3 linked regions of the Macaca fascicularis genome follow. The protein of the gene in region 2 interacts with the protein of the main gene of each other region in a pairwise test. Links are inferred from orthologs where the notes say so. Each region holds a gene or a part of one and is shown on either strand. Other genes may lie near its edges.

The links.
Region 1: the proteins of CEP70 (region 2) and HSPD1 interact in binary tests that used the Homo sapiens proteins (3 or more experiments, as listed by UniProt). The two-hybrid records come from large-scale screens. The link is inferred for Macaca fascicularis from reciprocal best matches to the Homo sapiens genes CEP70 and HSPD1.
Region 3: the proteins of CEP70 (region 2) and METTL17 interact in binary tests that used the Homo sapiens proteins (3 or more experiments, as listed by UniProt). The link is inferred for Macaca fascicularis from reciprocal best matches to the Homo sapiens genes CEP70 and METTL17.

Annotation. Positions count from the first base shown.
Region 1 is NC_088386.1:93,105,881-93,109,204, reverse strand, and holds part of HSPD1 (60 kDa heat shock protein, mitochondrial), read left to right. Parts: intron 1-1,654; coding exon 1,655-1,754; intron 1,755-2,608; coding exon 2,609-2,854; intron 2,855-3,324. UniProt on the Homo sapiens protein: Chaperonin implicated in mitochondrial protein import and macromolecular assembly. Together with Hsp10, facilitates the correct folding of imported proteins.
Region 2 is NC_088376.1:41,405,687-41,409,345, reverse strand, and holds part of CEP70 (centrosomal protein of 70 kDa), read left to right. Parts: intron 1-736; coding exon 737-827; intron 828-1,267; coding exon 1,268-1,391; intron 1,392-2,239; coding exon 2,240-2,420; intron 2,421-3,659.
Region 3 is NC_088381.1:88,659,246-88,661,609, reverse strand, and holds part of METTL17 (ribosome assembly protein METTL17, mitochondrial), read right to left. Parts: intron 2,122-2,364; coding exon 2,048-2,121; intron 1,405-2,047; coding exon 1,310-1,404; intron 825-1,309; coding exon 754-824; intron 574-753; coding exon 466-573; intron 208-465; coding exon 139-207; intron 1-138. UniProt on the Homo sapiens protein: Mitochondrial ribosome (mitoribosome) assembly factor. Binds at the interface of the head and body domains of the mitochondrial small ribosomal subunit (mt-SSU), occluding the mRNA channel and preventing compaction of the head domain towards the body.

The sequences.
Region 1 (3,324 bases), on a different chromosome or scaffold from region 2:
CGCCTGTAATCCCGGCTACTCAGAGGCTGAGGCAGGACAATCGCTTGAATCCAGGAGGCAGAAGTTGCAGTGTTCCGAGATTGTGCCACTGCACTCCAGCCTGGGCAACAAAGTGAGACTCTGTCTCTAAATAAATAACTGAGATGTAAGTGTATTTCACCATCGAATATTTTTTATTTGTTTTGAGAGACAGACTCTGTCACCCAGGCTGGGCTGCTGTGGCATGATCATAGCTCACAGAAGCCTTGAACTCTTGGTGTCAAGCAATCCTCCTGCCTCAGCCTCCCAAGTAGCTGGGACTACACACTTGCACAAGCACACTTGGCTGATCTTTTAATTCTAAGGGCATTATTAAAATGTTTGTTCTTCCTTATCTGAGAATTGAAGTATGTCAGAAGCAAGACTTTTCTTTCCATTTCATTATAGTAGAAATGCACAAATTAGGAGGTATGTTTTAGACATTACATGTGTTGATGTGACGCAAAAGCTCTAATGAGCTGCCTTACCCTGGAACGTTTTTCTTAGCTTGGATTTGCTTTGTTGGAGGGATTAAGAAAAGACTTGGCCAGGAGCGGTGATTCATGCCTGTAATCTCAGCACTTTGGGAGGCTGAGGCAGGTGGATCATGAGGCCAGGAGATGGAGACCATCCTGGCTAACATGGTGAAATCCCATCTCTAGTAAAAATACAAAAAAAAATTAGCTGAGCGTGGTGGCAGGCACCTGTAGTCCCAGCTACTTGGGAGGCTGAGGCAGGAGAATGGCGTAAACCTGGGAGGCAGAACTTGGCAGTGAGCCGAGATCTCACCTTAAAGACTTGAGGCCAGAAAAAAACAAGTCTACGGAGTTTTCATTAGGCCATTTAACTGCTAGTTGAAAACTGGGATATCCAGTTTACATAGCATATAGCTTATTCCTCTAATTTTTATTTGGGTCCTTAATAAAATAGACCAGCTGTCTTGAAGTTTGAACATTCCTTCTGTTTCACAATCTGTTCTCAAATGGACATTTGATTGCACATTCTAAGTATTCATTTACCTGGCAAAAATTTCAGGTGAGCTTAACAATACTGTCAGCTTTTTGTATAACATTTATAAAAGAAGTGAATTCAGAACATTGCTCATTCAAAACTCAGCATTAATACAATCTATGGAGTAGATGTTTATTAAATGACCCTCAAATGTAGTATTTAGTAATTATTTTTCTACCATTCATAATAGTTAATCACTGTATCCTATAACTTATTGTGATGTGATTTTTGCTGCTCAGCCTCCCGAGTAGTGGGGATTACAGGTGCCTGCTACCGCATTTGGCTGATGTTTGTATTTTTAGTAGAGACGGGGTTTCACCATCTTGGCCAGGCTGGTCTCAAACTCCTGACCTCGTGAGCCACCACGCCCGGCAAGGCCAACAGTTTATTAAGAAGATAAACAGATATGAACAAGTATAGATTAATAGAAAATAGCCTTAACTGTCTCACATCTTTCCTGTCTTAATTTGATCAAAAATTGCTAGGAAGCAAAAAAAAAAAAGCAAAAACCAAACCAGATTACTTAGGGAGTCCTAAGTAATCTAAGTAGTAACAGAGCTTGAGGGGAATTTAAACAGAGGCATTTTTATTTCATTTAAATCTTACTGTCAACTATTCTTAACAGGCTAAAGGTTGGTCTTCAGGTTGTGGCAGTCAAGGCTCCAGGGTTTGGTGACAATAGAAAGAACCAGCTTAAAGATATGGCTATTGCTACTGGTGGTGCAGTAAGTAAAATAAATGCGATAATGGTTTGCTGAATGTTTATACTTGTCTGAAATTTATAGATAGTTTAACATTTTTCACAATTAGATACTACAGCTATCTGTTTCTGTTGGCTCTTTGGAAGGTAGGGGTTGGATTAAATTCCCTTTAATTAGCTACGAGGCCACGAGTCTGGCCTAAGAATGGGCTTTTATTGACTATTCTATATTCACTAAATCTTACTGACTGAATAAGGGGTTTCTTTTTTTTTTTTTTTTTTTTTTTTTTTGAGACAGGGTGTCTTGATCTGTCACCCAGGCTGGAATGCAGTGGCACAATCTTGGCTCACTGCAACCTGCGCCTCCCGGGTTCAAGCAATCCTCCTGTCTCAGCCTCCCAAGTAGCTGGGACTACAGGTGCAGTACCATGCCCAGCTAATTTTTTTACTTTTAGTAATGGTGGGTCTCACTATGTTGCCTAGGCTTCTCAAACTCCTGGACTCAAGCAATATGCCTGCCTCTGCCTCCCAAAGTCCTGGGATCTGTTTTCAGTTTTGAAAGATAAAAGTGTGTGCTACAAATGATGTAGGACTTGAGAGTCAAGGCCTATGGTCTTGTCCTGGCTCTACCAGTAAGTGTGACCTTGGATGTTTTTTTCTCAAGTAAGGCTAATAATAATTACCAGAGTTGGGAGAATTGAGAAGTTGGAAATGCAATGGAAGACTATACTCAAGTCTTGTTCTGGACTAACAATGATCTTACAGTCTCTCATTTCAAAGAATATTTCAAGATGATTCTCTTGCCTGGTATATTAATAAACTTGGTATAATGGTAGAAACTGTAACCTACAGCTGGTTTACGTTTAACTCATTTTGTAGGTGTTTGGAGAAGAGGGGTTGACCATAAATGTTGAAGACGTTCAGCCTCATGACTTAGGAAAAGTTGGAGAGGTCATTGTGACCAAAGATGATGCCATGCTCTTAAAAGGAAAGGGTGACAAGGTTAAAATTGAAAAACGTATTCAAGAAATCATTGAGCAGTTAGATGTCACAACTAGTGAATATGAAAAGGAAAAACTGAATGAACGGCTAGCAAAACTTTCAGATGGAGTAGCTGTGCTGAAGGTAAGATTCATTATTATGAATAAGTTTTTTGGGTTCTGAGTCCAAGAATGATTGTCCTTCTGTAGTATTCCCCAGTAGTACCATGGAACTAAACAAATATTTGAGGAATTAATAGTGGAATTTTGTTTTGTTTTGTGGGTTTTGTTTTTTTTTTTTTTTTTTTTTTGAGACAGAGTCTTGCTCTGTCGCTCAGGCTGGAGTGCAGTGGCTGGATCTCAGCTCACTGCAAGCTCCGCCTCCCGGGTTTACGCCATTCTCCTGCCTCAGCCTCCTGAGTAGCTGGGACTACAGGCGCCCGCCACCACGCCTGGCTGGTTTTTGTGTAATTTTTTTTAGTAGAGATGGGGTTTCACCGTGTTAGCCAGGATGGTCTCAATCTCCTGACCTCATGATCCGCCCGTCTCGGCCTCCCAAAGTGCTGGGATTACAGGCTTGAGCCACTGCGCCCGGCCTTGTTTTGTTTTAAGCCC
Region 2 (3,659 bases):
CCTAAAACAAACATCAGCGATAATTTTAGTTGTATCTACCACGTAGTTAAACTCTGTGATCAGAAAGACTAAAGCATAAATGAGGGAAAAGTTATGAGTGGGAGGAGGTGTCAAAAAAAAGGAGGAAAAAGTCAACAGTCAAAAAGAAAGATTTATTTGACTTTGAGAGCATCTTTCAGTATGATTCTGTTAGAGTCAGTTATCCAGATGGACAGGCTCCTTTTTATAGTTAGACCTTGTCCATTTGACAAGGAGCTGTCTGAAATATTGGCTCCAACTAGTCAGGTATGTTTTGCTTTTTTCGTGACCCTAGTCATTATGAAAGTGATACTTAGAAGTGACTCACCTTTTCTTTACTATTCAGTTATTATAGCCTAGTGTGCAGCTGTTTATTCTGAGCAGGGCGTGGTTTGGCTTATTAAATCTAAAACCTTAGAGTTGTTTGATTCACTGAAATTACAAGGTGTTTTTATTGTTGTTGGTTTTGTCCATTGAGGCCTACATGTGAGTATTCTGTATAATGCAACAATTTGTGCTTATTTACATACTTCTAGTCTATTACTAATTTTGCTAGAAACAATAAATGTGTTTTTTGGATATTGTATATACATAAACATTTATACTTAAAACTTTTGAAGAAAATGTTCTATTCTGAAAATGCAGGAAATTATGTCTGAGAGAATTTCTTCACTTTATATCTTAAAGTTGACCCTTTTCCCTCTCTTTGTAATTGTAGCAGGAGGAAGCAGAATGGGAAAGCATAAATGTGCTATTGATGATGCATGGCTTAAAACCTTTGTCTCTAGTCAAAAGAACAGATCTCAAAGGTAATTAGATCCTATTCTTGCTGCTTAAGTTAAAAAGAATTTTTCCTTAAAAATTTTTTTATCTTAGGGCCGGGCGCGGTGGCTCAAGCCTGTAATCCCAGCACTTTGGGAGGCCGAGACGGGCGGATCACGAGGTCAGGAGATCGAGACCATCCTGGCTAACACGGTGAAACCCCATCTCTACTAAAAAATACAAAAAACTAGCCGGGCGAAGTGGCGGGCGCCTGTGGTCCCAGCTACTCGGGAGGCTGAGGCAGGAGAATGGCGTAAACCCGGGAGGTGGAGCTTGCAGTGAGCTGAGATCCGGCCACTGCACTCCAGCCTGGGCGACAGAGCCAGACTCAGTCTCAAAAAAAAAAAAAAAAAAAAAAAAAAAAATTTATCTTAAATCTTTTGCCTTTTATTTTTACTATCTGTATTACATACTTTTTAAAATGTAGATCTCATCATTTTTGACAAGCAGTCATCACAAAGGATGAGACAGAATTTGAAATTGTTGGTGGAAGAAACATCACGTCAACAGAACATGATACAGGAGCTTATAGAAACTAATCAGCAGCTTAGGTAAGAAAATGGAAAATATTTCTTTTGAATTGTTTGTATGCATTCTAAAAATAACTGCATTGAAAACAATCTTGAAATTTAATTTCCCATTTTGATTAAATATTAAACTAAAAAATATTTTTGGCTGGGCGCGGTGGCTCAAGCCTGTAATCCCAGCACTTTGGGAGGCCGAGACGGGCGGATCACGAGGTCAGGAGATCGAGACCATCCTGGCTAACACGGTGAAACCCCGTCTCTACTAAAAAAAAAATACAAAACACTAGCCGGGCGAGGTGGCGGGCGCCTGTAGTCCCAGCTACGTGGGAGGCTGAGGCAGGAGAATGGCGTGAACCCGGGAGGCGGAGCTTACAGTGAGCTGAGATCCGGCCACTGCACTCCAGCCTGGGTCACAGAGCGAGACTCCGTCTCAAAAAAAAGAAAAAAAATATTTTTTTTTGTAGGTAAAATTTTAATAGGTAAATCTTTTGGTAATAGCTTAGCATGTATGTTTAATGGTACCCTATATTTCTTCTATTAGTTTCTGTTGCAGGATGAGCATCTCAAATCTGAAAATTTGAAAGGCTCCAAAATTTGAAACTTTTTGAGCACCAACATGATGCTTAAAGGAAATGCTTATTGGAGCATTTTGGATTTCGGATTTTCAGATTTGAGATACTTAACTAGTAAGTATGATGCAAATATTCCAAAGTCTGAAAAATCTGAAATATGAATCACTTCTGATTCCAAGCATTTTGGATAAAGAGAATGCAAAGAAACTTTAGAAAGTCAATATGTTGTTATATGGATATGTTTGGTAATTTGATTTATTTTTAATACTAAGGGAAGAAATTGTACGTCTTTTAACTTAGAAATGAACTTCAGCTAGAGCACAGCCGAGCAACCAATCAAGAACAACGAGCTAATGACTTGGAACAAATTATGGAGAGTGTGAAATCCAAAATTGGTGAATTGGAGGATGAATCACTAAATAGGGCTTGCCAGCAACAGAATAAAATAAAAGATCTTCAAAAGGAGCAGAAAACTTTACAGGTACTGAGTTATCAATTCCTAGATGATGGTTAGTTAGTACTAAAACAGCTCATTATGGCCCCAGGTGACTTCCATGTTGTTTGATTCAGTGGTTTTTACCTTTTCTGGCCTATCACTGCTACCTTGAAATTTTCTTCACTTGATTTCTAGAATGTCCTCTTTGTTTCCCTCTGACCTCACTGATCATTCTCTAATTTCTTTTGCTGTTTTTTTCCCCTCATCTCCCTAGCCTCTTAGTGTTGGAATTCCCCAGTGCTCAGTCTTTGGATCTTTTCTCTTTCCTATACACTTTGATTCCTTTGGTAATCTCAATCTAATATAGGATCCAAAATTTATATCTGTAGCCCTGTCCTCTCCCCGAATTCCAGACTCATATCCAGTTGCCTACTTGATATCTCTACTGGATATCTAATAGGCATCTACAACTTTATTTACTTTTTTGAGTCAGCGTCTGGCTCTGTCACCCAGGTTGGAGTGCAGTGGCGCAATCACAGCCCAGTGCAACCTCTGCCTCCTGCACTCAGGTGATCCTTCCACCTCAGCCTCTGGAGTAGCTGGGACTACAGGCATATGCCACCATGCCTGGCTAATTTTTATATTTTTTATAGAGACAGGCTTTTGCCATGTTACCTAGGCTGGTCTCAAACTCCTGAGCTCAAGTGATGCGCCTGCCTCGGCCTCCCAAAGTGCTGGGATTACAGGTGTGGGGCACTGCACCTGGCTGGCATCTACAACTTTTTATGTCTAAAACAGAAATGGCAATTTTATGACATTAAATAATTAAGCTTTCTAATTTTAAAAACTTAAAACGTGGGTGTTTATTGTGATTAAAGGAAATGAGTCTTGTGCTGGTAACTAATGTTTAGTTGTGTGAGATGTTTCTGATCTTTACCAACATTATATCATTATAAACATTAAGTTCTTATTTTAGTGGTTTTGCTGACACAACACTATATATATAACCTTTGCATATGTGAGTTCAGGCTATCTAAAAGGGAGCAGTATTCATCAGGCAGGGTCTGGAAGTCCCCTCAGTGTATGCTGGCAGTATTGGAAGGATCAGATGAGTTAGTATAAATTCCATGGAGTCCAAGAGAATTAACCAGAGATACTAGGGAGCTCTAGTATGAGGATAGAGGCAGTTGGTGCTCTGACCTTGTTTATGTGCCAGCTTGGGGCAGGCAGTACTAGAGCTGCTGATATTGATCATAGTTTCGGAGAAGACATTGTTTGACAAAC
Region 3 (2,364 bases), on a different chromosome or scaffold from region 2:
CTGCTCTGATTCATAATGACTTTATATGCCCAGTTTCCTGAGAGTCACCCTTGTCAATATATGACAGTCTCTTTAGTTTTCAAAAGAATAACAGTAATTAGTGACATATGCGTGGGGGAGTGAGGGAAGAAGCCTTACCTTAAGGACCAGATCCCTGGCTTCCATGAGAAGTCTGTGCCCAGCTTTTGTTCCATTCTCCACCAGTACCTATTCACAAAAGGGAAAAATATGAAGACTTAAATTACATGAAAGTGTAAATGTCAGTAGCTCTGTAAAAGCATTATAGATGGAAAAGGGGTCCTAAAAAGAAATACGCATTATATATCAGGATGGAGACCCTCAAAGAGGGATAAAGAAACCCATAAAGGAGAAAAATGGTGAAGAATGAAGACAACGAGAGAAGCAAAGGCATGAAATCCATGAAGCTGCTTTAAGACTTAAGGAGAACAAGGAATTTTAACTCACCAGGAAATGACCTGTCTTACGCCATAAGGTTTGAACCACCTCAGTGCGGTCAGCCCTGCTGGGCAGTTCACTTAAGGAAAAGGCTGATACTACTACATCAAACTGCACCTGAGGACCAAGACAAAGAACATGACACACTCAACATCTCTGCATCCCAAGAATATAATAAAGTCCTAGCTGATAAATTTCTTTTATCTTCTGACACTCAGTGCTGGGCTGCAAAGCTCAAGCCATAGTTTTCCATCTGCCACATTCCACATTTAGAATATTCTAAACACTGCCACTTGCCTTGGGTGATACAGGTAGAAACTGTCTGAAAAAGACACCTGGAATATAAGGCTCCCCAGATTCTGAACCACCTGTGGAGAAAAGAAGAGGCAACTTTGAGTGTGTAGGAAGTTAGGTATAAACTGAAGAGATATCCAGATAAGAAACATGGCCCCAAGAATAGGGAAAGTGTCTATCAAAAAGGGCAGGGATGAGCCAGATATGGTGGTGCATGCCTGTAATCCCAGCTACCCCAGAGGATGAAGTGGGAGGATGGCTTGAGGCCAGGAGTTTGAGACCAGCCTGGGTAACAGGTTCTAATTAAAAACAAACAAAAAACAAAACAAAAAAAAAAAACGGCAGGGAGAATATTAGGCCTCTTGTCCTTTGAATCTTACCCAACCCATCCTCAGTCCAGCAGAAACCTCTAATACCGCCCTTTGCTTGACCATAACTTTAAAAGTAAACCAGATTCATCTTAATTTTTACCCTCTTCTCTACTTCCCAGTAAAACACTTTTACTAGTACCCCTTTGCTTTCTGAACTCCCTCAACTTTGGAAATGCTCTTGTACTCACCTTTCAGTAGTTTTTCTGCCAAAGCCAGCATGGCAGTTGATTTGTCCACACACATATATTCACGTAGGCTCTGGCCCCAAATACTGTTAGCAGCCCTAAGATGGCAAAATTATTATAAATCACCAATTCCCATGACCAAGAGTCATCTCTACAAGAGACCCATTTACACCCAACCCCACCCCTGGGAAAAGAGAGTGTTATGTTAAAATAGTTGTCTAGTTAGTAATAAAATAACTAATAGTGTTATTTTCTTGTTTTATTTACAATTGTTTTTAAAAAAAGGTAGACTCAGCTGGGTGCAGGGGCTCATGCTTGTAATCCCAGCACTTTGGGAGGCGGAGGCAGGAGAATCACTTGAACCCGGGAGTGGAGGCTGCAGTGAGCCGAGATCGTGTCACTGCACTCCAGCCTGGGTGACAGAGCGAGACACCATCTCCAAAAAGAGAAAAATAAAGGTAGACTCAAAATACTATTTGTAGGCAAAAAAACTTTGATTGATAATTCCTTTTCTTTTTAATTTTTCTAAACATGCGCCTTTTTTTCACTTGACATTTCTTTAAGTTCTGGCCCCAATCCATATACCTTCTTCTGCCTTGCCCAATCTGATGGAAGAAACATTATAGATTCCCAACTTGCCTATTCTCCCTCTGGTTTTCCAGTCTCTTAATTTTTGAGTGGTGTAAGTATGGCTTTCTAGAGCTAAAATTGACCAAGACAGGGCTGAAAAAAGTTACTCACCAGGTGACAGAACCAGTACCCGAGCCAAAGTCCATCAAAGTTTGTGGCTGAAATGCTGGATTTCGAGCCCGGATCTGAAGAAATATACAACATCCCACAGCAGAGTAATTAGATACTTATTTAGGACCTTGATAAATATGAATTAGGAGCCTATCACAGAGGATGTGAGATGTGAATGCTTTTTGAGATTCAATATAAATACCTTATGGGATAAGAATCTCTTAAAACAGTGATTCTAAACCTTTCTTGGGTCACAGAAAGCTTTCACAGGATAAAGAGAACTTCTTTATTTTGTATTTTTTTAAGAGATGAGGTCT